3 linked regions of the Pelodiscus sinensis genome follow. The protein of the gene in region 2 purifies or fractionates together with the protein of the main gene of each other region. This does not show direct contact. Links are inferred from orthologs where the notes say so. Each region holds a gene or a part of one and is shown on either strand. Other genes may lie near its edges.

What was found. The genes of interacting proteins can lie anywhere in the genome.
Region 1: the proteins of STX6 (region 2) and STX12 purify together in Homo sapiens (affinity purification with mass spectrometry; 4 studies listed by BioGRID and IntAct, counting the BioPlex papers as one, with this or other methods). This does not show direct contact. The link is inferred for Pelodiscus sinensis from reciprocal best matches to the Homo sapiens genes STX6 and STX12.
Region 3: the proteins of STX6 (region 2) and SNAP23 purify together in Homo sapiens (affinity purification with mass spectrometry; 3 studies listed by BioGRID and IntAct, with this or other methods). This does not show direct contact. The link is inferred for Pelodiscus sinensis from reciprocal best matches to the Homo sapiens genes STX6 and SNAP23.

What each region holds. Positions count from the first base shown.
Region 1 is NC_134735.1:22,765,912-22,775,690, reverse strand, and holds the start of STX12 (syntaxin-12), read right to left. Parts: upstream 4,963-9,779; 5' UTR 4,791-4,962; coding exon 4,682-4,790; intron 1-4,681. UniProt on the Homo sapiens protein: SNARE promoting fusion of transport vesicles with target membranes. Together with SNARE STX6, promotes movement of vesicles from endosomes to the cell membrane, and may therefore function in the endocytic recycling pathway.
Region 2 is NC_134719.1:58,740,950-58,751,023, reverse strand, and holds the start of STX6 (syntaxin-6), read right to left. Parts: upstream 4,927-10,074; 5' UTR 4,788-4,926; coding exon 4,753-4,787; intron 1-4,752. UniProt on the Homo sapiens protein: SNARE promoting movement of transport vesicles to target membranes. Targets endosomes to the trans-Golgi network, and may therefore function in retrograde trafficking.
Region 3 is NC_134714.1:66,550,734-66,561,380, reverse strand, and holds the start of SNAP23 (synaptosomal-associated protein 23), read right to left. Parts: upstream 4,963-10,647; 5' UTR 4,801-4,962; intron 2,131-4,800; exon of another isoform or gene 2,009-2,130; intron 1-2,008. UniProt on the Homo sapiens protein: Essential component of the high affinity receptor for the general membrane fusion machinery and an important regulator of transport vesicle docking and fusion.

The sequences.
Region 1 (9,779 bases), on a different chromosome or scaffold from region 2:
CCAGTTCCAGCCACCAGCAGGCCAGTTCTGGAGCTGAACAACAGGAGATGTTCATGGTTTCTGAGCAAGCAGTGTAAAAACCTGCATAAACTTACAGGACAGATATAGCCTTTATAGAGCTGGCCTCTTGAACAGTATGAATTGACAATTCAGTCAACAAGTGATCTCTTCCAAGTGGAGCTCCCCAGCACGGTTCTTTGCCTGTGATGTCACCCACAAAACCCATGTTGGCTCATCAGTGGAACAGCAGACAGCAGCCACTGACTCTGGAGAAATCTGATGTTATCTTTGCATTTCTGGTTATCTAAGTGACTAGGCTATTCTGCTTGAGTGATCACACTAGTCTGTATTTACAGCTCATCTCTGAAAATGACCCAGCCCTGGCCTCTCCCCCTAGAAACAGAGCTGGAAGAGACCTCAGGAGGTCATCAAGTCCAGCCCCCTGCCCAAAGCCAGACCAATCCCAACTCAATCAACCCAGCCAGGGCTTTGTCAAGCCGAGACTTAAAAACCTCTAGGGATGGAGATTCCACCACCTCCCTAGGTAACCCATTCCAGTGCTTCACCACCCTCCTAGTGAAACAATTTTTCCTAATAGCCAACGTAGACCTCCCCCACTGTAACTTGGGACTATTGCTCCTTGTTCTGCCATCCATCATGACTGTGAACAGCCTCTCTCCAGCCAGAGAAACGAGGGGACAGCCAGACTGCAGGGGGAGGGGTAGAGGGGTGTTCAGAATACCAGAGTAGAAGAGCAAATGCGCTGTTCCACAAGGAAGAAGGGGGCTTTCAAAAGGTTTTTTTGCCCAAAATGTGGCCCAGTCTGGATGGGCCAAATTTCGGAAAAGTCTCTTCCGACAAAAGTATCGGAAAAAGATACGCAAAACGCGGAGCACATCTTGCGTATCTTTTTTCGATAGACTCTCGCAGTCTAGATGTACCCGAGTATCACACTGAGAAGGAGGAAGAATCTTAAAAGATGTTTGAACAACCTGCATTTAAGCGAGCTGAATAGGATTCTTCAAGTCTATTTCTTGTTGACTATTTCAATTACAATCTTGTGACAAAGGGATTATAACGTATATCAACCCTGGCATTGCTTTCTCCTCTGAGAACAACTCATGGTCAAAATGGAGAGTGACAAATGACTCAATTCCATCATACCAGAAGAACATTACGCCCAGTCTACACAAAGATGTTGCACTATTTAACTAAACTGGTTTGTAAATCAATTTGGTTTAATTGGTGTGACTTTTTCATTTAGATTGAGGGTTGGATTGAGTCACTTATGTTGGATTTGCTCATGATGCATCCTGCAATTTATTTAAATTATACAAATTTGCATTTAACAATTTATTTTAATGTACCACCTAACCGCACACATAGTACATTTGTGGCTTTATGGAATAATTAGACACTGGAACTCAGAACCGTGTCTGGGTAGCATGTTGATCTCCTGAAGTTCTATTAGTTATGCCAGTAGACAGCTCTGTAGAGAGCTCCCTATGCACCCAGCTGAATTCTTACCCTTAGGAGCCAAACATCATAGATTTCAGACCAGAACAATTCTTGTAATAGGTCATAAGTGTAACATCTTCTACAAAGGCAAGTAAAGCTCAGAAGAGTCTTCAACATGACAGAAAGCTTTCCGATAGTACTCTATGCGCAGATGATCAAAGCCAAGAAAGGTGATGCATGTAATATCTTCTGTTTGAAACCCACACTAATGGGGGAAATTGAATACAATGAAATTGACTAATGAAAGCATTCTTGTCTAAAGCTGTGGTGTCCAACCAGTTTTGCTATAGCAAACTGGCCACACTCAACTGGCCAAATAGCCACATGTGGCTTAGTGGCTGGCCTATTGGGCACCACAGGCCTAAAGCAAACAAAATGGAAGAGTAACTTCTCTGTTACAGTAATATTGGGCATTTATATCAATTGGTAAACTCAAGCGTGACTTCTAAGTTGCTGGTGCCCCTTTATTTTATAAAGGCCTTTGATAAAACATGCCTTGACTATTTTGAGAAAGATTTGTGCTAGTTCTATGCCTCATGTGCTGCTGTGTTGACACAGATCAGGTGAAATGGTGTAAGAGCATAGAAGTAGGAGGATTATATTCGGTTTCATCCAACTGGCCATGAGAAGACAAAGCAAAGTGACAATACTGGGGAACAGGAGGGGGAAGAAAACAAAAAATTAAAAAAAAATCATTCTAATTTTGTCTTGTGCTTCCTGAGTTCAGTTCATTCCCATATCACCTGAATCGCACCATCAGTATACATGTAAAGAGTCCAGGCCTCCAAACCCTTATTCAAGGTAAACTTGAGCTTGTAAGTGCTTCTATGCAGAGATCGCATTGTACTAGGGATGTTAAGAGGCGGGTATTGAACTAATTGAGTAGTCGATAAAAATTCTATCAGCTACTTGATTAGTTGATAGGCAGCCTGCTCAGTCCTGACTCCTGGCAGGTGCAGGACCAAACCTCACTGTGGCTCTGCAATTTAAAAGGCAGTAGGAGCCAGGCAGCCTGCCCCCCCCCCCCCCGGCTCCTACTGCCTTTTAAATTGCAGAGCTGCCTTGGGGTTTGGTCCTACACCAGGTCCGTGGCCAGGACTGACCTGCTGACAGGGGTTGCTTTGCAGCAGCAGCAGCAGCCGCCCCTCCCCACTGCAAAGGGCAGGATGGGCAGCACTGTGGAGAGAGTGCTGGGGGGAAAACCAGCTTTTAAACCGGCTTCTCCCCACTACTACCTCTGATACAGAGGCAGCAAAGGGTGGGGGGCAGAAATGCGAGTAGTCCACTCCCTAGGCTGTGGGAACACAAAGTTTACAGCACTTCCTGGCTAAATCCTGATCTGGTTGTCTGGGTACTATGGTTATAATCAAGATCAGGCTACAAACTTGCCATCTAGTTTGCTAGAGGGAACTGTGATTTTTCACAAGAAGCAAAGGGCTTCACAGGAGAAGATCTGAGATGCTTATTTCTCTCCCGCAATGGAAACTGCTTTATTGCACATCTATGAGAGGAAGAGAGCTTGCAGGGAACCGTCCCTTGGAAGAGTCGGGGCGGACTAACAGGCCTTAAGCAGAGGCCACCACGGGCTGCAGGGGTGACCAGCTGTGGCTATTGACAAAGCGCTCGAGGTACAGGGGGTGCCTGGGAGCCGCCGTGGGGCTGACAGCACGGCCAGGGCTTGGGGGGCCGCTCCCGGGGGCCCAGCCCGGACATAGGGGAGGCGGGCGGCTGGGCCGGCTCCGGGAGGCAAATGGGCGATAGGCGGGCGGGCCGGCCCCCCCCCGAACCGAACCAGGTCCCTCCCCGGGCCCCCCGCCGGACCCCCCCCCAAACCGAACCAGGTCCCTCCCCGGGCCTCCCCCCCCGGACCCCCCCCCGAACCGAACCAGGTCCCTCCCCGGGCCTCCCTCGCCGGACCCCCCCCCCCCCCGAACCAGGTCCCTCCCCGGGCCCCCCGCCGGACCCCCCCCCGAACCGAACCAGGTCCCTCCCCGGGCCTCCCTCGCCGGACCCCCCCCCCCGAACCAAACCAGGTCCCTCCCCGGGCCTCCCTCGCCGGCCCCCCCCCCCCCGAACCGAACCAGGTCCCTCCCCGGGCCTCCCTCGCCGGACCCCCCCCCCGAACCGAACCAGGTCCCTCCCCGGGCCTCCCTCGCCGGACCCCCCCCCCGAACCGAACCAGGTCCCTCCCCGGGCCTCCCCCGCCGGACCCCCCCCCCCCGAACCGAACCAGGTCCCTCCCCGGGCCTCCCTCGCCGGACCCCCCCCCCGAACCGAACCAGGTCCCTCCCCGGGCCTCCCTCGCCGGACCCCCCCCCCGAACCGAACCAGGTCCCTCCCCGGGCCTCCCTCGCCGGACCCCCCCCCCCCGAACCGAACCAGGTCCCTCCCCGGGCCTCCCTCGCCGGACCCCCCCCCCGAACCGAACCAGGTCCCTCCCCGGGCCTCCCTCGCCGGACCCCCCCCCCCCCCCCCGAACCGAACCAGGTCCCTCCCCGGGCCTCCCTCGCCGGACCCCCCCCCCCCCGAACCGAACCAGGTCCCTCCCCGGGCCTCCCTCGCCGGACCCCCCCCCCCGAACCGAACCAGGTCCCTCCCCGGGCCTCCCTCGCCGGACCCCCCCCCCCCCGAACCGAACCAGGTCCCTCCCCGGGCCTCCCTCGCCGGACCCCCCCCCCCCGAACCGAACCAGGTCCCTCCCCGGGCCTCCCTCGCCGGACCCCCCCCCCGAACCGAACCAGGTCCCTCCCCGGGCCTCCCTCGCCGGACCCCCCCCCCCGAACCGAACCAGGTCCCTCCCCGGGCCTCCCTCGCCGGACCCCCCCCCCCGAACCGAACCAGGTCCCTCCCCGGGCCTCCCTCGCCGGACCCCCCCCCCCCGAACCGAACCAGGTCCCTCCCCGGGCCTCCCTCGCCGGACCCCCCCCCGAACCGAACCAGGTCCCTCCCCGGGCCTCCCTCGCCGGACCCCCCCCCCCCCGAACCGAACCAGGTCCCTCCCCGGGCCTCCCTCGCCGGACCCCCCCCCCCGAACCGAACCAGGTCCCTCCCCGGCCCCCCCTGCCGGATCCCCCCGCCGAGCCGAACCGGGCCCCCCCCGCCGGGCCGAACCGGGCCCCCCCCGCCGGGCCGAACCGGGCCCCCCCCGCCGGGCCGCACTCACTGCACTGGGCGATGCGCTGCACGTTGGCGCTGCAGGTCTGGACGATGGCGCCGAAGTCCCGGGCCGGGGGGCCCGCGGGCCGGCCCGCCTCCAGCGGCCCGTAGGACATGGCGCAGCCGGGCTGGGCGCTGGCTCCGGACGGGGCAGGCGGGAGCGCAGCTGACCAGGGCAAAACACCGCCGCGCCACTGCGCACGCGCACTGCTACCGGCACTAAGGCCCACCCCGGGCGGCGCGTGCGCACTCGCTGTCTCTCAGCTGCGGGCTGGCAGGCCCTTGGGCGCCATGGTTACGGGCCCGGAAGGGGTGAAGACCCCGCCTTGCCCCGCCCTGCGCGCGGAGCTCAGCTTGCACTGCGCCTGCGCCATGGAGGTCCGGGCCTGTCTCGCGGAGCCTGGCGAAGGGGGCGGAGCGAGCCTCCCAGCGACGATGGACTGGATGGGAGCAGCAGAGCGCACATAGCCCCGCCCCCGAGCGGGCTAGCTCCGCCCCCTCCCCAGCCGGGCCTAGAGCCCTGCGAGCATGGAGCCGCCCCTCCCCCTATTAGCAGGCACTGGCCAGGGGCGGGCAGAGGCCGCGAGCCCAAGGCAGGACCAGCCCGGCTCCATCATCCCGGCCAGGGCTGTGTCAGCGAGACACACACCTCCAGGGACTGAGCCCCCCCAGGGCACCCAGCCCAGCGCTTCCCACCGCCTGGGGACCTGCCCCCCTGCAACTGGAGCCCATTGCCCCTTGTCCTGCCACCCGCCCCCCCTGAGACCAGCCTCTCTGGAACCCCCCTTCAGGAACGTGCCGGCTGCCCTCAAATCCCCCCTCGCTCTTCGCTCCTGCAGATAAACAAGGCCAACTCCCTCAGCCTCTCCTCAGAGGTCATGTGCTCCAGCCCCCTCATCATTTTGGTCACCCTCCCCTGGACCCTCTTCAATGTGTCCACGACCTTTTTGTAGTGGGGGGCCCAGAACTGGACACAATACTCCAGATGTTGACTCAACAGAGCTGAATAAAGGGGAATAATGACATCTCTGGATCTGCTGGCAATGCTCCTCCTAATGCACCCTAATATGCCATTAGCCTTCTTGGCTACAAGGGCACCCTGTTGATTCATATCCAGCTTCTCATCCACTGTAATCCCCAGGTCCTTTTCTGCAGAATTACTACTTAGCCAGTTGATCCCCAGCTTGTAACTATGCTTGGGAATCTTCCATCCCAAGTGCAGGACTCTGCACTTGTCCTTGTTGAACCTCATCAGATTTCTTGTGGCCCAATCTACTAATCTGTCCAGGTCACTCTGGACCCTAACCCTGCCCTCCAGCATATCTACCTCTCCCCCTAGCTTAGTGTCATATGCGAACTTGCTGAGGGTGCAATCCATCCCTTCATCCAGGTCATTAATAAAGATGTTGGGAAGAAGGATCCAAGAACTCGGAGCGCAAGTGGTGTTCTCGTCCATCCTCCCTGTTGAAGGGAAAGGACTGGGCAGGGATCGTCGAATTGAGGACGTCAATGCGTGGTTGCGCAGGTGGTGTCGCAGAGAGGGCTTTGGTTTCTTTGACCATGGGACTCTGTTCCGGGCACAAGGATTGTTAGGAAGAGATGGGATCCACCTAACGGAGAGAGGAAGGAGCATCTTCGTGGGCAGGCTTGCAAACCTAGTGAGGAGGGCTTTAAACTAGGTTCGTCGGAGGACAGTGACCAAAACCCTGAGGGGAGTGGGAAAGTCGGATACCGGGAGGAAATGCAGAGAGGAAGGAGCAAGAAAGAAGGACCCCTTTTCAGCTTTTGCGGAAATTCAAGCGGCCAGTGTAGACAGCTGGCAAGTTTTTCCGGAAAAGCGGTTGATTTTCCGGAAAAACTGGCCAGTCTAGACACAGCCCTGGAGTATTGTGTCCAGTTCTGGGCCCCCCACTACAAAAAGGATGTGGGTGCATTGGAGAGGGTCCAGTGGAGGGCAACCAAAATGATTAGGGGGCTGGAGCATATGACTTATGAGGAGAGGCTGAGGGAGTTGGGTCTGTTTAGTCTGCAGAAGTGAAGAGTGGGGGGGGATTTGATAGCAGCCTTCAACTTCCTGAAGAGAGGTTCCAGAGGATGGAGAGAGGCTGTTCTCAGTAGTGACAGATGGTAGAACAAGGAGCATTGGTCTCAAGTTGTGGTGGGAGAGGTCCAGGTTGGATATTAGGAAAAACTATTTCCCTAGGAGGGTGGTGAAGCACTGGAATGGGTTACCTTTAATCACCCTGACATCTGTTGGGAAACCAATACAGCAGTACACAGGCAATCCAGGAAGTTTTTGGAGAATGTTGGGGATAACTTCTTGGTACAAGTGCTGAAGGATCCGACCAGGGGCCGGGCACAGCTTGACCTTCTCCTCACAAACAGGGAGGAACTAATAGGGGACGTAGAGGTGGGTGACACCCTGGGAAGCAGTGATCATGAGATGGTAGATTTCAGGATCCTGACCAAAGGAAGAAAAGAGAGTAGTAAAATACACACCTTGGACTTCAAAAAAGCAGATTTTGACTCCCTCAGAGATCTGATGGAAAGAATCCCCTGGGATGTTAACATGAAGGGGAAAGGAGTCCAGGACAGCTGGCAGTATTTTAAAGAAGCCTTATTGAAGGCACAGAAAGAAACCATCCCGACGCATAGCAAGAGAGGCAAACCTGGTAGGAGACCGGATTGGCTTACAGGGGAAATCCTTGGTGAACTTAAGCACAAAAAGAAAGCTTACAGAAAGTGGAAACTTGGACAAATGACCAGGGAGGGGTTTAAATGTATAGTTCGAGAATGCCGGGGGGTTATCAGGAATGCGAAAGCGCAAATGGAGTTGCGACTGGCTAAGGATGTGAAGGATACAAGAAAGGTTTCTACAGGCATGTCAACAAGAAGAAGGTGATCAGAGAGGGTGTGCGGCCCCTAATGGATGAAGGAGGTAACCTAGTGACAGATGATGTGGGGAAAGCTGAAGTACTCAATGCTTTCTTTGCCTCTGTATTCACGGACAAGGTCGGCTCCTGGACTTCTGTGCTAAGTGACACAAGACGAGAAGAAGATGGACAGCCCTTGGTGGGTAAAGAACAGGTTAGGAACTATTTAGAAAAGCTAAACATACACAAATCCATGGGTCCAGACTTAATGCACCCGAGGGTACTGAGGGAGTTGGCAAATGTCATTGAGGAGCCTTTGGCCATTATCTTTGAAAAGTCGTGGAGATCAAGAGAAATCCCGGATGATTGGAAAAAGGCAAATGTAGTGCCCATCTTCAAAAAAGGGAAGAAGGACGATCCAGGGAACTATAGGCCGGTTTCTACAGTCTTACCTCGGTTCCTGGAAAAATCATGGAAGGGATCCTAAAGGAATCCATTTTGAGACACTTGGATGAGAGGAAAGTGATCAGGAATAGTCAGCATGGATTCACAAAGGGCAAGTCGTGCCTGACCAATCTGATTAGCTTCTATGATGAGGTAACTGGCTCAGTGGACATGGGAAAGTCAGTGGATGTTATATACCTTGACTTTAGCAAGGCTTTTGATACGGTCTCCCACGCTATTCTTGCCAGCAAGTTAAGGGAATGTGGATTGGGTAAATGGACGGTAAGATGGATAGAAAGATGGCTAGAAGGCCGGGCCCAGCGGGTACTGATCAACGGTTCGATGTCAGGATGGCGGTCGGTTTCTAGTGGAGTGCCCCAAGGTTTGGTTCTAGGACCGGTTTTGTTCAATATCTTTATTAATGACCTGGATGAGGGGATGGATTGCACCCTCAGCAAGTTTGCAGATGACACTAAGCTAGGGAGAGAGGTAGATACGCTTAAGGGCAGAGATAGGGTCCAGAGTGACTTAGACAAATTGGAGGACTGGGCCACAAGAAATCTGATGAGGTTCAACAAGGACAAGTGTAGAGTCCTGCACTTGGGACGGAAGAATCCCAAGCATTGTTACAGGCTGGGGACCAACCAGCTAAGTAGTAGTTCTGCAGAAAAGGACCTGGGGGTTACAGTGGATGAGAAGCTAGATATGAGTCAACAGTGTGCCCTTGTAGCCAAGAAGGCTAATGGCATATTAGGATGCATTAAGAGGAGCATTGCCAGCAGATCCAGAGATGTCATTATACCCCTTTATTCGGCTTTGGTGAGGCCACATCTGGAGTATTGTGTCCAGTTCTGGGCCCCCCACTACAAAAAGGATGCGGAAGCATTGGAGAGGGTCCAGCGGAGGGCAACCAAAATGATTAGGGGCCTGGAGCATATGACTTATGAGGAGAGGCTGAGGGACTTGGGTCTGTTTAGTCTGCAGAAGCGAAGAGCGAGGGGGGACTTGATAGCAGCCTTCAACTTCCTGAAGGGAGGTTCCAAAGAGGATGGAGAGAGGCTGTTCTCAGTAGTGACAGATGGCAGAACAAGGAGCAATGGTCTCAAGTTGTGGTGGGAGAGGTCCAGATTGGATATTAGGAAAAACTATTTTACTAGGAGGGTAGTGAAGCATTGGAATGGGTTACCTAGGGAAGTAGTGGAGTCTCCATCCCTAGAGGTGTTTAAGTCTCGGCTTGACAAAGCCCTGGCCGGGTTGATTTAGTTGGGATTGGTCCTGCTAAAGCAGGGGGCTGGACTTCATGACCTTCTGAGGTCTCTTCCTGCTCTATGGTTCTATGATTCTATGCTGAACAAAGCCAGTCCTAGAACAGATCGTTGGGGCACTCTGCTAGAAATCGACCACTAACCTGACATCGAGCCGTTGATCACTCCTCATTGGGCCCGACAGTCTGGCCAGCTTTCTATCCATCTTACCGTCCATTTATCCAATCCATATTCCCTTAACTTGCTGATAAGAATATTGTGGGAGACCGTATCAAAAGCCTTGCTAAAGTCAAGGTATATCACATCCACTGACTTTCCCATATCCACAGACCAGTTACCTCATCATAGAAGCTACTGGGCATGACAGCTGGGGCAGGTCTGCGTCAGCACATGGAGGGGGCAAAGTGAGAGACGCTAATGGTGTCTGGCCCAGAGACCTGCAGCTGCTCTTTGCCTGGCTGGAGATGGGCTGCAGGGCCCTCCCCAGGTGTGAAAATCCCTGACTCTTAATGGGATTGCCCAG
Region 2 (10,074 bases):
CCTCTTCTCTCCCCTCGTGGGCTGTGTCTAGACTGCATCCCTTTTCCATAAAAGGGATGCAAATTAGACACATCGCAATTGCAAATGAAGCAGGGATTTAAATCCCCCTCGCTTCATTTGCATAAACATGGCTGCCGCTTTTTTCCGGCTTGGAGCTTTGCCGGAAAAAAGCGCCAGTCTAGACGGGGATCTTTCGGAAAATAAAGCCTTTTCTGAAAGATCCCTTATGCCTCTTTAAATCCCCGCTTCCATTTGCAATTGCGATGTGTCTAATTTTCATCCCTTTTACGGAAAACGGATGCAGTCTAGACACAGCCATAGTGTGGTAGGAATTACCACATTATGAAATTGTTACAGCAATCCCAATTTTTGAAGGGACCCAATTCTTCAGCCTAATGCTGCCACATAACTAAATCTTCATACACTGCCGTAGTAGTTACACTGTTGCACCAATATTCTTTGCTGAATGGAGGAAGTAGACTATGCTTTACATCTTTCATCACATAACTGGGAAATGCCTAGGTAACACTGCAATATCAACTACATATGCATGCTTCTCCTTCCCCTCCCTCCCCCCCAATAATTTCACTTCACAAAGGGCAATAAGAATTGCAGGAATTATCCTCATAGAATTTTTACATGGATTGTGTTCAGCATGGCCCTGATTATTTTAATATTACCAGTCAAATATGAACTGCCTTTGCTGCTGCCACAAGCTTCATGGAAAAGCACATTCAATTTATATAATGGAAATGCATGCTTTTCTGATGGCACTAGGACCATCATTTAATTGTTTAGGGTAAGAGGATAAGTAGCAAATGTCTACCAGCAAATGTCAGTCTTATTCCCGTGGAATACAAATTCGAAATAAGAGGAAGACAGTGTGCGTATCTTTATTTTGTACCCCAATATATTTGGAAAAAAATCTACTTAAATATCAACTAAAAGACTATCCTCAGAGCTAAATCTGAGGCGGACACAAGCAGAATTATGTCATCTTAGGGGACAGCACAAGAGAACCTAAACCCCTTCTTTCACTGTATCAGCAAGTCTCCACCCTCCTACTAGACATTCTGTGAAGTTTGACTGGACATAGCCCAGCTACCAGCCCAAAGTATTTTATTTTCTCTCCCTAACAGCAAGACATCCTTGAAGCAAGTTTCATTTTTACCATCCACATTGGTGAACTCTTACCCTCTCTCCATATTCACAACCGGTTTTTCCTCTGCTTCCCTGCCTCTCTCTCAACCATCTGTTCCTCTTGTCATGATTTCATTAGGACTTGAAATTAAGATAATAAACTAAAAGCTTGCACTGGAAAATTTTGACTCCTTCAAACCCAAATTCTGCAACCATATACAAGTCAAGCCACATTAATAGCACTCAGACAATTTCCCTATGCAAGCAGCTCCCCCATAATATTGGTTTCCCTCTATTTTTTGCACATTATCCCCAATTTAAATTCACTTTAAGGTCTGTAGCCCTCAGCATTCATGTAGCAGTGACACACTGCCCCACCACAATTGCATCATATTACTTATACGCCCTCTACAATCTCCTTAAAAAAAGACCCTATTTCTTGCATCTGCCTACTTGTCTCCTTAGGATAGAGCAGTGGCTGTCAGTATTTCCACACTACTGTGTCTCTTTCATAAGCCTGATTTGTCAAGTGTGCCCCCAAATTTCACCTCACTTAAAAACTATTTGCTGGCAAAAGAGACACAAAAATACAAGTGTTGCCGCACACTATTACTGAAAAATTCCTACTTTTGTTTTTACCGTATAATTATAAATCAAGGAATATAAATACAATACATTTCAGTATGTAGCATCTGAAGCAGCATGAACAAGTCATAGTCTTCATGAAATTTAATTTGTATGAATTTTACTAGTGCTTTGTGTGTAGTCTTTTTGTAAAACTAGTTAAATAGCTAAGTTTATGTACCCAGGAAGACCTCTGCACATCCCCAGAGTAAGAGCAGCCTAGTAGAGAACCACTGAGATGAGGGTCTTTCCTCCTCCCCCGACCCATTTGTCTCCACTCATCTCAAGCAAAATATTCTCTCTATGCCAGGGCAGCCACAGGCTCAAGAAATGCATGCAACCCCTTCAAACACCAAACTATTGAAAATATTATAAACCACAAGAAACAGGCAACTCATTAGCCAGTCCACACGCTCTCTGCAGCAGGCTGGGTTCCAAAATCCGTAAAACTGCTTTCTCCTCAAAATCCCTGCCTAGGTTGACAGAACTGTAGTTTTGTTACTCTAACTAGGGCTAGGCCAACTCAAGTGGTCACGCCCAAATAACGATTACCAGAGTTAACTCTGCAACCAAGAAATACTTTTCCCAATCTCATTCTCTAACCACCTATTATTGTTTGTGTACATAGGAGATTTTTTTATCCCGAGTTTAACTGATTGACTATTAACACAAGATAGGTTTATCAAGGATAGGCTGGGCAGTCTATACACACTTGCTGCAAGGTAAACATTTCTGGTATACCCTAGGCTCAGCCCACACTAAAAGAAATCACAAACACTTGTATCCTGGAAAAATGTTTGGGAAGTGGGCAGCGTAACCTTCACAAACATTAGCTCTCAGGTTATTAGGCAATATATTAGAGAACATACCATCCCAGTGGACTATGATATAGTCCCTTGTACCTCCACGGGAGCAAATCTGCTGCTGGAGGTGTGGCCACCCATCCCACATGCACCCTAGGGACGTTACATATAGTGTAACTGAATAAACTTAAAAAACAACAAATGCATTGGTAGCATTTTATAGACTAACAAAACATGTAGTCTATAAAAAGCTCATGATACTATCTACATGTTGCTAGTCTATAAAGTGCTACCAGACCATTTGTTGTTTTTTAAGTTTATCCTGTACAGACTAACTCGGCTACCCCCGAAGCTTCCGTAACTGAATAATCATGTAACCGCACAAAATATTATCGGTTATGCCACTATTCAATAGTCCGCAGGGGGCAGGACCAGCAACCAGTGCACTCCTGGCTTCAGAGGCAGCCATGCAGGGTGGCATGCGGAAGCAGTCTGCAAGGGGAGCCAATTTAAAAAACAGCGCCCCTTGTGGACTGGCTGCCTGCTGCCCTGCACTGCTCTCTCTGGGTATGTCTACACTAGCCCCCTAGTTCGAACCAGGGAGGATAATGAGGGCGACCGAAATTGCAAACAAAGCATGGGATTTAAATATCCTGTGCTTCATTAGCATATTCCCGGGCAGCCGCCATTTTGACTAGCCCGGAATAACTGCCCACGTCTACACGCAGCAGAGAAGAGCAATTCCAAAATAAACCCCTTATTTCGAATTGCCAGTTAAACCTCATTCCATGCTTCATTAGCATGTTCTCGGGCAGTTGCCAAAATGGCGACCGCCCGGGAACACGCTAATGAAAAGCAGGATATTTAAATCCCACGCTTCATTTGCAATTTTGGTCGCCCGCATTAGCCTCCCTAGTTCAAAATCGGGGACTAGTGTAGACATACCCTCTGATAAGGAAGCAGCAGCATGTGGAGCTGGGACCCCTGCTGACAGGGACTGCTGCCCTGAAGGCTGCTTCATGGTATGTGGAGCAGAGAGCTTGGACCCCCTGTGAACAGAAGCTGCTGCTTGCAACAGCCTCTCCTGCACCCTCCTTTCCCTGCTGCCTCTGAGACCGCAGCATGGAGGGGGCAGGCTCAACCACAGAGCCGGTGCTGTGGTGGGGGAACCAGCTTTTAAGCTTGCTCCCCTAACCACTGGCTCCTACCTGCCCACCCCAGTATGCAAGGGGGGGAAGGCAGATCCACAGAGCCCATACGCGTGGGGAGCTGGCGTGAAAGCTGATTCCCACATGTATCAGTTCTAGCCTATGCCCCTCACTGCTGCCTCTCTATCAGAGGCAGCAGCATAGGGAAAGGGGAGCAAGGGCGGCAGATCCAGTGCTCATTGGGATCCTGCTTAAAACCAGTTCCTCATGGGCACCAGCTCCCACTTCCCACCCCTCTCCCCCCCCACACTGATACAGAGGCAGCAAAGGGGGTGGCATACATGTAGTCAACAAGATTAAACAATAAGCCTAGGCTCATTGGTTAATCGTATAATTGGCTACTTGTTGACATCCCTACTTGGGACAGAGCATGAGGCAGGTGGGGCCAGAAGCCCATACAAATTTGTTTCCCTTTGGTAAATAGGGAGAGAAAGGTTAAGTAGGTGGAAGATTCCAGGGAAGTGGGGAAAAGCAGGGAAAGTAAAGAATTCCTCCACCCCAGAGATTCTCTCACCTCTTACAAAGGTGAGGAGAGTACGGATGATCCCTGCCCCATCTCACTCCCCTCCACCCATCCGCCCATCTTCTTCAGCACCCCTGCCAGTCACCCCAACATTAACCCTCCGTCTGCCAGTTACCCTCCTCCCTTACTTAGCCCCCCCACCCAGCCCCCCAACATAACCCTGCCCCCCCACCCAGCCCCCCAACATAACCCTGCCCCCCCACCCAGCCCCCCACTACCCTGCCCCCCAACATAACCCTGTCCCCCCACCCAGCCCCCCAACATAACCCTGCCCCCCCACCCAGCCCCCCCACCCAGCCCCCCAACATAACCCTGCCCCCCCACCCAGCCCCCCACTACCCTGCCCCCAACATAACACTGTCCCCCCACTACCCTGCCCCCCCCCTCAGCCCCCCCGACACTACCCTGCCCCCCCCCACACCCAGCCCCCCCACATAACCCCGCCCCCACTCACCCCTTCACCACGAAGAAGGGGTCCTCCATGGACATGGCCGCCCGGGCGGGGCCGCTCCCGCTGCACCAGGCGCCCGGTGCGAACGAGCCCGCACAGCGACCCGATCCCCGCCCCCGCCGGGGGCCCCGCCCACTCCGCCGTCACGTGACGGAAAGGGGCGCGCCCCAGGGGCCTTGTCGCCGCTTGCACGGGGGAGGAGGGGGGAAGGGTTTCCTCTGTCACGTGACAGGCGGACGCGTTCTGCGGCGGCGAGGCAGGCGGCGCTCTTTGTCACGTGACAAGACAGCGCGCGCGCGCGCGCGCGCACATACATATACCCCCTTCCCCTCCCGCGAGAAGGGGGGGGAGGGTGCAAATTTCCCGCCAATCCCTCAGGCGCTGCGGGTGCGCATCGCTGTTCGAAGCTCGCACGCGCCGCGCCTCCGACTTGGCCCGGGGCGACGGGCCCCTCAGAATGGCCCCGCCCTGCACGCACCTCGCACCCACGTGGGGGTCTGCAGCTGCCTGCGGTGCCAGCCCGATGCACCCTCCCCCCATCCTTGCTGGCTTGCCAGGGCTCACAGGGGACCCCTGGCTTGGGGGGATCTGCTGCCCCCTCCAGCCACGGCAGGGGCCTGGCATCGCCTCTGGGTCAGAAGATCCCCTGGCGGGGGGGGAGCCTCTTGCAGTGCCAGGCTCTGGCTGCCCCATCTGGCCCCTGCCCCGTTTAGTCCTTCATGTGTCCCCTAAGGGTAGACTGCAGCTGGCAGCCCTGCCTGGCTCCAAGAGCCTAATACTCCCCATTGCCTGGCTCCAAGAGCGTCTAATACTCCCCATTGCCTGGCTCCAAGAGCGTCTAATACTCCCCATTGCCTGGCTCCAAGAGCGTCTAATACTCCCCATTGCCTGGCTCCAAGAGCGTCTAATACTCCCCAGTGCCTGGCTCCAAGAGCCTAATACTCCCCAGTGCCTGGCTCCAAGAGTGTCTAATACTCCCCATTGCCTGGCTCCAAGAGCCTAATACTCCCCATTGCCTGGCTCCAAGAGCGTCTAATACTCCCCAGTGCCTGGCTCCAAGAGCGTCTAATACTCCCCAGTGCCTGGCTCCAAGAGCGTCTAATACTCCCCATTGCCTGGCTCCAAGAGCGTCTAATACTCCCCAGTGCCTGGCTCCAAGAGCCTAATACTCCCCAGTGCCTGGCTCCAAGAGTGTCTAATACTCCCCAGTGCCTGGCTCCAAGAGCCTAATACTCCCCAGTGCCTGGCTCCAAGAGCGTCTAATACTCCCCATTGCCTGGCTCCAAGAGCGTCTAATACTCCCCATTGCCTGGCTCCAAGAGCCTAATACTCCCCAGTGCCTGGCTCCAAGAGCCTAATACTCCCCATTGCCTGGCTCCAAGAGCCTAATACTCCCCATTGCCTGGCTCCAAGAGCGTCTAATACTCCCCATTGCCTGGCTCCAAGAGCCTAATACTCCCCATTGCCTGGCTCCAAGAGCGTCTAATACTTCCCATTGCCTGGCTCCAAGAGCGTCTAATACTCCCCATTGCCTGGCTCCAAGAGCGTCTAATACTCCCCATTGCCTGGCTCCAAGAGCGCCTAATACTCCCCATTGCCTGGCTCCAAGAGCGCCTAATACTCCCCATTGCCTGGCTCCAAGAGCGTCTAATACTCCCCATTGCCTGGCTCCAAGAGCCTAATACTCCCCATTGCCTGGCTCCAAGAGCGTCTAATACTCCCCAGTGCCTGGCTCCAAGAGCGTCTAATACTCCCCATTGCCTGGCTCCAAGAGCGTCTAATACTCCCCAGTGCCTGGCTCCAAGAGCCTAATACTCCCCAGTGCCTGGCTCCAAGAGTGTCTAATACTCCCCAGTGCCTGGCTCCAAGAGCCTAATACTCCCCAGTGCCTGGCTCCAAGAGCGTCTAATACTCCCCATTGCCTGGCTCCAAGAGCGTCTAATACTCCCCATTGCCTGGCTCCAAGAGCGTCTAATACTCCCCAGTGCCTGGCTCCAAGAGCCTAATACTCCCCAGTGCCTGGCTCCAAGAGCCTAATACTCCCCAGTGCCTGGCTCCAAGAGCCTAATACTCCCCAGTGCCTGGCTCCAAGAGCGTCTAATACTCCCCATTGCCTGGCTCCAAGAGCGTCTAATACTCCCCATTGCCTGGCTCCAAGAGCCTAATACTCCCCAGTGCCTGGCTCCAAGAGCCTAATACTCCCCATTGCCTGGCTCCAAGAGCGTCTAATACTCCCCATTGCCTGGCTCCAAGAGCGTCTAATACTCCCCATTGCCTGGCTCCAAGAGCCTAATACTCCCCATTGCCTGGCTCCAAGAGCGTCTAATACTTCCCATTGCCTGGCTCCAAGAGCGTCTAATACTCCCCATTGCCTGGCTCCAAGAGCGTCTAATACTCCCCATTGCCTGGCTCCAAGAGCGCCTAATACTCCCCATTGCCTGGCTCCAAGAGCGTCTAATACTCCCCATTGCCTGGCTCCAAGAGCCTAATACTCCCCATTGCCTGGCTCCAAGAGCGTCTAATACTCCCCATTGCCTGGCTCCAAGAGCGTCTAATACTCCCCATTGCCTGGCTCCAAGAGCGTCTAATACTCCCCAGTGCCTGGCTCCAAGAGCCTAATACTCCCCAGTGCCTGGCTCCAAGAGTGTCTAATACTCCCCATTGCCTGGCTCCAAGAGCCTAATACTCCCCATTGCCTGGCTCCAAGAGCGTCTAATACTCCCCAGTGCCTGGCTCCAAGAGCGTCTAATACTCCCCAGTGCCTGGCTCCAAGAGCGTCTAATACTCCCCATTGCCTGGCTCCAAGAGCGTCTAATACTCCCCAGTGCCTGGCTCCAAGAGCCTAATACTCCCCAGTGCCTGGCTCCAAGAGTGTCTAATACTCCCCAGTGCCTGGCTCCAAGAGCCTAATACTCCCCAGTGCCTGGCTCCAAGAGCGTCTAATACTCCCCATTGCCTGGCTCCAAGAGCGTCTAATACTCCCCATTGCCTGGCTCCAAGAGCCTAATACTCCCCAGTGCCTGGCTCCAAGAGCCTAATACTCCCCATTGCCTGGCTCCAAGAGCCTAATACTCCCCATTGCCTGGCTCCAAGAGCGTCTAATACTCCCCATTGCCTGGCTCCAAGAGCCTAATACTCCCCATTGCCTGGCTCCAAGAGCGTCTAATACTTCCCATTGCCTGGCTCCAAGAGCGTCTAATACTCCCCATTGCCTGGCTCCAAGAGCGTCTAATACTCCCCATTGCCTGGCTCCAAGAGCGCCTAATACTCCCCATTGCCTGGCTCCAAGAGCGTCTAATACTCCCCATTGCCTGGCTCCAAGAGCCTAATACTCCCCATTGCCTGGCTCCAAGAGCGTCTAATACTCCCCATTGCCTGGCTCCAAGAGCGTCTAATACTCCCCAGTGCCTGGCTCCAAGAGCGTCTAATACTCCCCATTGCCTGGCTCCAAGAGCGTCTAATACTCCCCAGTGCCTGGCTCCAAGAGCCTAATACTCCCCAGTGCCTGGCTCCAAGAGTGTCTAATACTCCCCAGTGCCTGGCTCCAAGAGCCTAATACTCCCCAGTGCCTGGCTCCAAGAGCGTCTAATACTCCCCATTGCCTGGCTCCAAGAGCGTCTAATACTCCCCATTGCCTGGCTCCAAGAGCCTAATACTCCCCAGTGCCTGGCTCCAAGAGCCTAATACTCCCCATTGCCTGGCTCCAAGAGCCTAATACTCCCCATTGCCTGGCTCCAAGAGCGTCTAATACTCCCCATTGCCTGGCTCCAAGAGCCTAATACTCCCCATTGCCTGGCTCCAAGAGCGTCTAATACTTCCCATTGCCTGGCTCCAAGAGCGTCTAATACTCCCCATTGCCTGGCTCCAAGAGCGTCTAATACTCCCCATTGCCTGGCTCCAAGAGCGCCTAATACTCCCCATTGCCTGGCTCCAAGAGCGTCTAATACTCCCCATTGCCTGGCTCCAAGAGCCTAATACTCCCCATTGCCTGGCTCCAAGAGCGTCTAATACTCCCCAGTGCCTGGCTCCAAGAGCGTCTAATACTCCCCATTGCCTGGCTCCAAGAGCGTCTAATACTCCCCATTGCCTGGCTCCAAGAGCCTAATACTCCCCAGTGCCTGGCTCCAAGAGCCTAATACTCCCCATTGCCTGGCTCCAAGAGCGTCTAATACTCCCCATTGCCTGGCTCCAAGAGCCTAATACTCCCCAGTGCCTGGCTCCAAGAGCGTCTAATACTCCCCAGTGCCTGGCTCCAAGAGCGTCTAATACTCCCCATTGCCTGGCTCCAAGAGCCTAATACTCCCCAGTGCCTGGCTCCAAGAGCGTCTAATACTCCCCATTGCCTGGCTCCAAGAGCCTAATACTCCCCAGTGCCTGGCTCCAAGAGCGTCTAATACTCCCCATTGCCTGGCTCCAAGAGCCTAATACTCCCCAGTGCCTGGCTCCAAGAGCGTCTAATACTCCCCAGTGCCTGGCTCCAAGAGCGTCTAATACTCCCCAGTGCCTGGCTCCAAGAGCCTAATACTCCCCAGTGCCTGGCTCCAAGAGCGTCTAATACTCCCCATTGCCTGGCTCCAAGAGCCTAATACTTCCCATTGCCTGTTTCCAAGAGCGCCTAATACTTCCCATTGCCTGGTTTCAAGCGCGCCTAATACTTCCCATTGCCTGTATTCAGGATTGCCTAATACTTCCCATTGCCTGTTTCCAAGAGCGCCTAATACTTCCCATTGCCTGTTTCCAAGAGTGCCTAATACTTCCCATTGCTTGTTTCCAAGAGCGCCTAATACTTCCCATTGCCTGTTTCCAAGAGTGCCTAATACTTCCCATTGCCTGTTTCCAAGAGTGCCTAATACTTCCCATTGCCTGGTTTCAAGCGCGCCTAATACTTCCCATTGCCTGTATTCAGGATTGCCTAATACTTCCCATTATGGCACTCTGATGTCGGTTACATTTTGCCAAACTGGAGAGTGTCCATCGTGTCAGATGCCAACCTCAGACTGAATTTTGTGGGGAGTTTTAGCAAAACCAAGGTAGCCATTTCCAAGAATGAAATGGCTTTGACACCATAGACAAACAAAACCCCTTACAGCCATGTTTTTAAGAAGTTCTGATGCCTTCTTGTTTTGGAGCAGGGACTTGAAATGTGAGAAGAGAGAGTCCTGGGTTCAGGGAACAAGAGACAGAACTATGTAGCACTTTAAAGACTAACAAGATGGTTTATTAGGTGATGAGCTTTCGTAGGCCAGACCCATGAGACGCCTTTTACTGTCCCTGTGAAAATCCACCCACATGTGGCCTGTTATAAATGTTTCAAAACTGCCAGTA
Region 3 (10,647 bases), on a different chromosome or scaffold from region 2:
CACATGAAAGCTTATTGCAAAGTCATCCTAAAACTGTTCTTATTTCAGCTAACCATCCAAGCCAGTGAAGATTTTTTTCCCCCTGGGGTCTCTGGCTGTTTCTTTGGATGCGTACAGCCAGCAAAAGACAAAGAGCCTGAAAACTTTGCATCTTAAATAGCTTTCTTTTTGGTCGGGAATTCTTTGTTTGTACAGTCTCCCCTTCCATGAAAAATCACCTGGTCAGACCTTACTAGATGGTCAGAGATCTTCTTAAGACCGACCTCTGCTTAGACTTAAAGGACAAAGGAGGCTGTTTACCAGCTATTACCCAGACACTGAGGTGTCCCAGCATTGAAAGCATCCTTTCATTTGCACGTTTAAAATCATAAACCATTCTCTAATCCATATCTAACTTTATATACAAGACATACAGATCCAGCAGATTGAGACATTAGAATTGATCGGTTACATGAGGTATCCTGTCCAAAGCATCTTCAAGTTTAGCATATTTGTATCCAAGACCATTTCAAAAAGCGTGGAGGGGAGGGGGAAACTGTCACAATCACTGTGCCTCTGGACCTGTGTCCCCTGCAGAGCCTTCCTAAGCAGCTTCTCCAACTCCTGAAGTGTTGTGAGGAGCAGAATGGATGTAAAACATTTTTTCCTAGATGAATACTGAACTAATATCACAATATGGATTACTAGTGGGCATCATATTGCTGAAGGCATAGTTTTGCCCATTACTCACAACACCAAGGATCAATCTCACTTTGTCATTAAGCACCCAATGTCATTTTTCATGACAAAAGGAGTATTAAACACTGGGGTATTAGGTTTTCTGAGCCCACTATAATTACATAGCACTTTCCTAAGTTCTTTTCAAATTCTACTTGATAGATTATTCATTTGACTGCACCGTTGCAGTGTGCTATTAAACCATAATTGTGTTCCATCCCAAATGATGGGACAGACTGGTGAAGTGATTCTGCAGTATCTTATGTTCTTCTCAAAAAATGCTACCAACCTCAGATACCTAAAAGTTCATAAAATACAGGACTATGTAGCACTTTAAAGATTAACAAGATGGTTTATTAGATGAGCTTTCGTGGGCCAGACCCACTTCCTCAGATCAAATAGTGGAAGAAAATAGTCACAACCATATATACCAAAGGATACAAATAAAAAAAGTTCATAAAGCACCTCAAGACATTTGGATAAGAACTAGGGAAAAAGCTGTTAAATATCTATATAGCTTACAGAGGTTGCTGCCTTATCAGTTTTCTGATGGGGAGGCAGGACCCATCAATTTTAAGTTCTAAGCCAATGAAAACCAGAATTTTTATTTCTTTCAAACTACCTGACAGCATAGCATTACTCTACTGAAAGAGAGTAAAAGGATCTCACTTATTTGGACCTGCAAGAAAGAATATCAAATTAGTTATTTAAAACCTAACACGGAACAAGATACATGCCATTTATCACATGCTCTACAGCTAGAGCAAGCTTTGATAAATACAAGCACTGTTTGCTGGTGCTGCAAAAGCAACAAACAGCAAGAGGGTTCCAAGTTCCTCAGAACCTTTCCTTCTGTCATCACCTACTCTAGTAACCATCCCAAACTCTTTCTGCAGAAACAAAGGGCTCTATAAGGAAAAAGAAACAAGTTGCTCTTCTAAATGCATCCTGAAAAGAATGCTGATATTCTTCAGTGTGAACTGACAATGGTTAGGAACTTTAGGAAAAGAATAGATAAGGCAGAAAATATAATGCCTCTATATAAAATCCAAGATACTCCCACATAGAACCATAGAATACTAGGACTGGAAGGGACCTCAAGAGGTCATCGAGTCCAGTCCCCTGCCCTCATGGCAGGACCAAATATTGTCTAGACCCGTGGTCATCAACAGGTTGATTGCGATCGACTGGTCGCTCGCAAGGCCTCGACCAGTCAATCGTGAGGCATCCTGCCCAGCTCCCCTCCGCCCCTGCCATTTCCTCCCCACCCCCGAGAAGCCCCACTACCTACCTTAAGTGAAAATGGAGGTAGTGTCGGCTTCCCGGGGATGGACAGAATCCCGCTGCTTAGCACCACTAATGGCGATTACGGAAGTGCGCTAGCTGCTCTGCCAGGCGTTCTGCGGGAGGGAGCATTGGCTCCAGAGGAGGAACACAGCGACTTCTCTGCACTGCACAGGAGGGGTGAGTCAACCCTGGGGCAGGTGTGCGTGAGGCTTCCCTGCTCCGGGGTGTGTGTGTGGGGGGGGGGAAGGGGTGTCAGCCCCAGAGCTGGCACACGAGGCTTCCCTGTGTGTGTGGGGGGGGGGGAAGAGTTGGACCAGGAGGAGGCACGCACTGGCTTTTGGGGGGGGGGGGGGGGAGGAGAGTGGCGAGAAGAATCCTGGGAGGAGGCAGATGCAGGGGACTCTCTGCCTCCACTGCCCCCCCCCCGCCCCGTCCCCACTCCCCTGTCCACAGCTACAGAACTCTGTCCCCACTCCCCGAACTCTGTCCTCATTCCCATCCCGAGCCACAGAACTCTGTCCCCACTGGCACCCTGTCCCCTGCCAAAGCACCCACTAGCACCCTTCCCCAATACTATATCCCCTGTTCCCACCAACACAGTTGGGGCCACATTAGTGAAGCTTGAGGGGGATGGGGTGGAGGAGGGTTTTTTTTGCATCTCACTTGTGTGGCCCCAACTGACTTTTCTTGGGTCAGTGACCCCGGACTCAAGACAGGTTCCCTGCCCTTCTCAGAAATAAAGACAATGCAAAAAACTTTGTTTGACACAGTAGTTTATTTAAAAATGAAGCAAGGCCAACAAACCCCAAATTGGAGCCAAGCCCCCATCTGGCCACAGCATCATAACACTCCTACACTCTCCTTTCCCTCAGACCTGAGCCTATCATACACCAGAACCCCCTGCCCTGAGCTCCTCACATACCCAAACCCAAATTCCTGGATGTGAGGGTTCAGAAATCTGTGGCTTGCTTAGTACCCTAACCCTACATCTGACCCCAACACTGCCCAGCCTGGCACCCTCTCCCAGAGCCAGTGTTCCCTTATCCACCTTCTCCTGCATCCAGATTTCCTCCCAAAGCTTGCACACCTCACCCCTTCCCACACTCAAATCCCTCATCCCCACCCCAGAGCCTACATATCCTGTCTCAACCCAGCAAGATTATGGCTAGACTGCAGGAGTTTTTCAGGATTCTGGAGATAGCCCAGAAAAATTCTTCTGCATCCAGGGACGCATTTGTTCTTCCACTTCTTTTAGTGGAAGAGCAAACATGATCTTTCGGTCACCTCTATATTCCTCTCTCCACAAGGAATAAGGGGGCTTCCAAAAGAAGTTTTTTTTGACATTTGGTCCAGTCTAGACAGGCCAAATGTTGGAAAAACCTCTTCCTACAGAAGAATTGGGGAAAAAAGCAGCAGTATAAGGGCTGGGGATAACAAGTGATGGAGAGAAGGAGAATACAAAGGGCAGAGCTTCAAAGAAGGGGCAGGGCTGTAGATCTTGGCTTGTTCTGTCATTTAAAAAGTGACCTTGGGTGTGAAAAGTTTGGAGACCACTGGTCTAGACCATCCCTGATAGACATTTATCTAACCTACTCTTAAATATATCCAGAGACGGGGATTCCACAACCTCCCTGGGCAATTTATTCCAGTGCTTAACTACCCCTGACAGTTAGGAACTTTTTCCTAATGTCCAACCTAAACCTCCCTTGCTGCAGTTTAAGCCCACTGCTTCTTGCCCTATCCTCAGAGACCAAGGAGAACAATGTCTCCCTCCTCCTCGTGACACCCTTGTAGATGCTTGAAAACTGCTATCATGTTCCCTCTCAGTCGTCCCTTTTCTAAAAGAAACAAGCCAAATTCTTTCAGTCTTCCCTCATAGCTCACATTCTCTAGACCTTTTATGATTCTTGTTGCTCTTCTCTGGACCTTCTCCAATTTCTCCACATCTTTCTTGAAATGTGATGCCCAGAACTGGCACAATACTCCAGTTGAGGCCTAATCAGCGCAGAGTAGAGCAGAAGAATGGCTTCTCCTGTTCTGCTCACAACACTCCCGTCAATGCAGGGACTCCCAACCTGGGGTACGCATACGATACGAGAAGCTTGTCAAGGGTGTGCGGGGAATATTTGGTAAATAACTAGATTATCCTAATTGAAATATTCCAAAAGTAGCAGTGTTAGTGAAAAAAGTTGTGGATTCTAGAGTCTAGAATTTATTTCTTTTCATATTGAATAGGGGGTACGGGAAGGTTTACTAAAAGCCAAGGGGGGGTACAAGGACCGGAAAAGTTGGGAACCCCTGCATTAATGCATCCCAGAATTGTGCTTGCTTTTTTTGCAACTTTTTTTTCCATTGCAAAAAACACTGGAATATTACCAAACACTAGAGACCAAAAAACCCATAGATCATCACACAAGGCTATCTTTATGCGGCTGCATGGGGCACTACTAAGTTTGGGGCACCAGTGCTCTATGCCGCGTTTATCAAGTAGGTAAGACGGGCAGTGTTGGCCCCGGCGGCCCCATCCCCTGGTCCCCATCAGCGCCAGCTGCTCACCCACTGCACCTCACAGGGGCCAGTAGTGGTGTCACCCCCGCTCCCGCCGGGATCCCGCACTAGGGCCGGACGCGCGCAGAGGGAGCCAGCCCGGGGGGGGGGGGGGGCAAGAGCGCTCTCCAGCCTAGCCCAGAGCACCTCACCAGGACTCCGCGCCACCCCACCCCGCCTAGGGCAGGACAACACAGGCCGCCCCGCTCCGACCGGGCGCCACACCCGGAGGTTTCCGCCTTTTCCCACCTGCAGCTGGCGCCTCTCACAGCCACCGCCAAGTCCGGAGCGCGAGCGGAGCCGTCGCTTTAATGCTCCATACTGAGTCTCGTCGCACCAGCAACACCTGCCCGGCAGGCAGAGCCACCGACCCCGCCCGCCCCACCGGAACTGGAACCGGAACTCAGCACCGCCCACCTGCCGGCAAACCAGGAAGAGCCACATTCAACATGGTGGAGAGAAAGGCACCTCGTGGGCCACACTCAGCATGGCGGCTGGCCCCATTGTCGCGACCGCCACCCAGCAGAGCGAGAAAAGAGCGAGCCGCGCGGACTCGCACAATCAACATGGCGGAGAGCGGAGGTCAGTCGACCTAAGCCGGAACACCGAGCTAGCTCCGAGCATGCGCGCTGACTGTCAGTCTCTTTCCTGCTCTCAGCAAGCGGGGCCGGGTCTGCAGCAGCGACCTTTGTTCTTCCCCAGCGATGCGGGATCCTGCTTGTCTCCTGCTCTTGGATGTTGACGCTGGGTTTCTGAAATATTTTTGTTTGTCTTATGAGCCTTGTCGTGCCTCTTGTCTCAGCTTCAGTCCCAGTGCTAGTCCCCAGCCTGGGCAGGCAGGAAGCCTGTAGGGTGATTTTTCACTCGTTTGTAAGGACTTCTCTTGATTGGTGTCTAACATGTCAAGTCCTACATGTAAAAACCATAATTATTTTGTCTTGTTTTTCAATTTGCGCTGGTTAGGCCTCAGTTGGAGTATTGTGTCCAGTTCTGGGCACATTTCAAGAAAGATGTGGAGAAATTGGAGGGGGTCCAGAGAAGAGCAACAAGAATGATTAAAGGTCTAGAGAACATGACCTGTGAAGGAAGGCTGAAAGAACTGGGTTTATTTAGTTTAGAAAAGAGAAGACTGAGGGGGGGGGGACATGATAGCCATTTTCAGGTACCTAAAAGGGTGTCATGAGGAGGGAGAAAACTTGTTCATCTTGGCCTCTGAGGATAGAACAAGCAGCAATGGGCTTAAACTGCAGCAAGGGAGGTTTAGGTTGGACATTAGGAAAAAGTTCCTAACTGCCAAGGTAGTTAAGCACTGGAATAAATTGCCCAGGGAGGTTGTGGAATCTCCGTCTCTGGATATATTTAAGAGTAGGTTAGATAAATGTCTATCAGGGATAGTCTAGACAGTATTTGGTCCTGCCATGGAGGCAGGGAGTGGACTCGATGACCTCTCAAGGTCCCTTCCAGTCGTAGTATTCTATGATTCTATGATTTTGTATGTGTGTGAATTTCCCCAGAATATGTAAGGGAGATCAGGAAATGTACCAAAGTTTCTGAAACTGCAGACTAGAATCAATAACACGACCTCAAGTGTACATATAGTGAATGATAACACTTCCCCTTCCCCAATATAGGGGCAAATGTTAATGCCTTTATTCATGTTGAAAAATCTCTGTATCATATCAGTAGCTGTTTGCAATGTCCCTGTAGCCCTACTGGTCCCAAGATATGAGAGAGACAGGGTGGATATGGGTAGTATCTCTTATTGATCAATGTTGCTGCATGGTGCTGTGATGGACCACAGCAATTTCTGCTTCCAAAAAACTACAGTTGTCAAAAGGCAATTGCCAGTTGCTGCCCTGAGCCACAGAAACTACCATTTCCCTCTGCTTTCCTTTCAGATGAGCGAACCAAGCTTTTGAACTGATCTCTTTTTCAGTTTTATCAGTAAGACTAGTCTCAGAGTAACACACCACTTATCCTGTAAGGGTAGTGAAATAGGCCCATAATGGGAAAGAGGAATAGACAGAAAGAAAAACTACATTTGCTGGGGATGGGAAGTTACTGTTCAGAGCCAAGGAACAGATAGTATTCTATTCTATAGCAGTGTAAGTTCTACATTTAAATAGCAGTTATTCTCTTATTAGCTACTCATTAGGATTCTGTTGATTCCCAGACTGGTTGAGTCCAAGAGTCCCTCAGCAGAATATAGTCGTAAAGTAGACTGTGATGACCTAGTAAGCATATGATGCCCCTTTTTCTGATGTTGAGTTCTCCCATGATAGCCTCAGCAAAGTCTCCATGGCTTCCGGCTACTGAGCTGTTCTGCTTGTTAGTGATTTACAAGGCAAACGCCTCAGGGCTGGAGCCTTTTCCCATGTTCTGCAAAGTGCCAAGTACACGTATTGCACCATATAAAGTGCACCAGGACCCCATCCGGTCCTGTGTGATCAGCGTTGCTGCTGGCGGGCGGCAGGGTGCCGCGATGGACCACAGCAATTTCCGCTCCCAAAAAACTACAATAGCCAACAGGCCAAGCGCGGCCCTGATCCGCAGAAACGGCCGTTTCCCAGCGTGCAGGCAGTGTGCCGCGCTCGCGGATTGGCTGCGGGAGCGCACGCTCCCCTGGTCCTGCGCCGCGCTTCCCTCTCGGGTCGCGCTTCTCAGCCGTTTTCCTGGGGGAGCCGCGGCCGGCCCCGGGTAGGCAGCGGGGCCTGCTCGGTTCGAGCCGCGTGATGGGCGGCGGGGCTGCCGCGCTGTCGTGGGACCAGGAGGACGCGGCCTGTGAGTAAAGTCCTGGCGGGCAGGGGCTCGGCGCCTGGAGATGCTGCTCCCTTGGAGGGGGTGGGGATCGGTAATGGCTCAGGAATGTGTGTGGGATGGGGAGCGGGTGCAGAGGCGGCGGGGCAGGGGGTGTCGGGGGAGACAGGCCGGGGGGAGGGGGTGACAGTGGGCCGTGGCTAGGAAGGCGGCGCGGGATGGCTCTTGCAGTATAGTGTGTGTGTTTTTTCTAACGCCGTTGCTCTTGATCTTTTGCCATTGGGTTGTGCAGAATTTCTCCAGCATCAAAGCAAACGCCTATTTACAGATCTTTAACTCCTCCCCGACCGCTATACTGGTATCTGAACTGTGCCGGTAGTAGCTGCCCTGCTTTATGCCCATACTCACTCTGTCACTCAGGTATGGTAGCACATCTGAAAACAGGGGTGAACTTGCATCTAAATATATCCAGTGTGTGAGGTTGGTGAAGGGTACATGTAGGTGAAAATGTTAATTTGGTCTTGTAATATGCCAAAATATCAGACACACGTTTTGGAAGATGATGCATTTTAAAGTAAGCACCTATGCTTCTAAAAAGCAACGAGTCTTGTGGCACATTATAGACCAATGTTTCCCAATTTTATTTGGCCACAGAACTCTTTTAAACTTGAAAGAATTTTGCAGAACCCCGAATAACAGTCTAATATATGGAGCTGAAAAAGTAGACCACAAATAAGTAAGGAAAATAATAAACAAATGCTAAACAAGGTCACGAGATCAACATTTAGTTTAATTGCACATATCTAAAAAGAAAACTCATATAATATTAATTTTTTTAATAAAAAATGTTGTTGTAATGGAATTTTCTCATGGAACCCTTATTTTCACTTCATGGAACTCCTGGGTTCCATGAAATACCATTAGGGAAACACTGTTACAGGCAGTCCCCGAGTTACGCGGATCCGACTTACGTTGGATCCGCAGTTACGAACGGGTCCCTCCCTCTCCCTGGTCTCCAGCAGACCAGGGAGAGGAAGCAAAGCGGCGGAACATGCGGGCAGCGGACAGCACAGACGCGTCTGGGCTGTCCGCTGCCCGCGTGTTCCGCCGCTTTGCTCCCCGTCCCCCTGGTCTGCAGACCAGGGGGACGGGGAGCAAAGCAGAGCAAAGCTGCGGAGCCTGGGGTTCTTAAGTTGAATCTGTATGTAAGTCAGAACTGGCATCCAGATTCAGCCGCTGTTGAAACTGATCAGTTTCAGCAGCGGCTGAATCTGGATGCCAGTTCCGACTTACATACAGATTCAACTTAAGAACAAACCTACAGTCCCTATCTTGTACATAACCCGGGGACTGCCTGTATAGCCTAGTATCAGAGGGGTAGCCGTGTTGGTCTGGATCCGCAAAAGCGACAAGGAGTCCTGTGGCACCTTATAGTCTAACACAGGGGTCTCCAAACTACGGCCCGCGGGCCGGATGCGGCCCGCGAGGCCCTCTCATCCGGCTCGTGGAGACCGTCCCTGGGGCGCCGCCGAACGGGCCCTTCTTGCCGCGGTGGGGGGGCCCTGTCAGGGGTGTGCGGCGTGTACTCACGCCGCGCCGGGGCAGGAGAAGCGGGCCGCTCCGCTGACAAGCGGCCGCGCGGCAGCAAAGGGGGCGGGGGTTAGCACGGGCGGCGTTCCCCTGCCCAGACTGACAGGGCAGCCGGCCAATCAGGGGGCAGGATGGGCGGTGGTGGTAACGCCTGCCCGGCGACGTGCGGGGGAACGTGAACCCCGGCGGGAACTTTAAAAAGGTGACCCCTGATTTAAATCAATATTAAATTCTTTCAGATCTCTCCTAAAACACCAGATCTAGTGCCTAAAATCAGCTTCTAGGTGAGGAAAAACGTTAATTTTTAATGCTTCATTTGTCCCTTGCTCCTTTTAAGTATTTTTCTCACTCTCTGGATTTCTTCTCGCTGGCCTGAAGGGTGAGTTTTCCCCAGTGCATTAATGCAGTGCCCCATAGCATGTGCCTGGCATGCTGCGAATTTGTTTTTGGAACAAGTACAGGCCAACAACTTGACGCACTTTCAGCAGTGCAAGGTCTTCATGGCTGAAGCAACAGCTGAGTTCCCCACGTCTGAAATATGTGAAGAACAATTTGAGAACAAACTTGTCCGATGATAATCTCAGGTCACTGTTGATGTTAGGGACAACAAATCTAAAGCCAGAAATGTCTGCTATTTTGGCATCCAGGAAACAATTTCACCATTCACACTAATACAGGTGTTCATGTGTAGTGTATCAATGTGTTATTAAATAATAACTGAATAAAATAATATTAAATAAATAATTAAAAACAACATCCATGTTTTGATTGTTTTTTATTTGGACCTCAAGTGTGTAGTCGGCCCCCGAACTGCTGTTTGATAGTTAATGCGGCCCTCGGGCTGAAAAGTTTGGAGACCCCTGGTCTAACAGATGTATTGGAGCATAAGCTTTCATGGGCAAAGACCCACTTCATCAGCTGCATGTAGTAGAAATTTCCAGAGGCAGGTATAAATATAAGAATAAAGCTAGAGATAACTAGGTTAATTCAGTCAGGGAGGATGAGGCCCACTTCTAGCAGCTGATGTGGAGGTGTGAACACCAAGAGGAGAAACTGCTTTTGTAGTTGGCTAGCCGTTCAATCTTTGTTTAATCCTAAAATGATGGTGTCAAATTTTCAGATAAACTGTAGCTCAGCAGTTTCTCTTTGAAGTCTGGTCTTGACGTTTTTTTTGCTGCAGGATGGCTACCATAGACTAACACATTTGAGTGTACATTTTCCTGGGCAAAGACACACTTTGTCAGATGCATTGGAGTGGAAATTACAGAAGCAGGTATAAATATACTAGCACATGAAAAGAAGGGAGTTAGTTACCTTATCAAGTGAAGGACCAGTATTAACTAGGCCAATTCTGTCAGAGTAGATGGGACCAACTATCAATAGTTGAGGAGGAGATGTGACTACCACTAGAGGGAAAATTGCTTTTGTAGTGAGCCATTCCCTGGTCCTAATCAAACCCAGAGGAATAGTGTTAAGCTTGCAAATAAATTGCAGATCTACAGTTTCTCTGTCACACTCCATCTCTGTGTCCTTTTATTTTTCTTTTTTTCTCTTGCTTTCTTTTTTCCTCTTCATCTGAGGAAGTGAGTTGTAGCTTACGAAACCTTATGCTCTAATAACCTAATTCATTTGTTAGTGGTTAGGTCTTATGATGGTGTCGCTTGAGTAGATATGCAGGCAGAACTGGCAATGGGGTTTGTTGCAGGGGTTGGTTTCTGAGTTAGTATTTCTGTGATGTGGTGTGTGGGT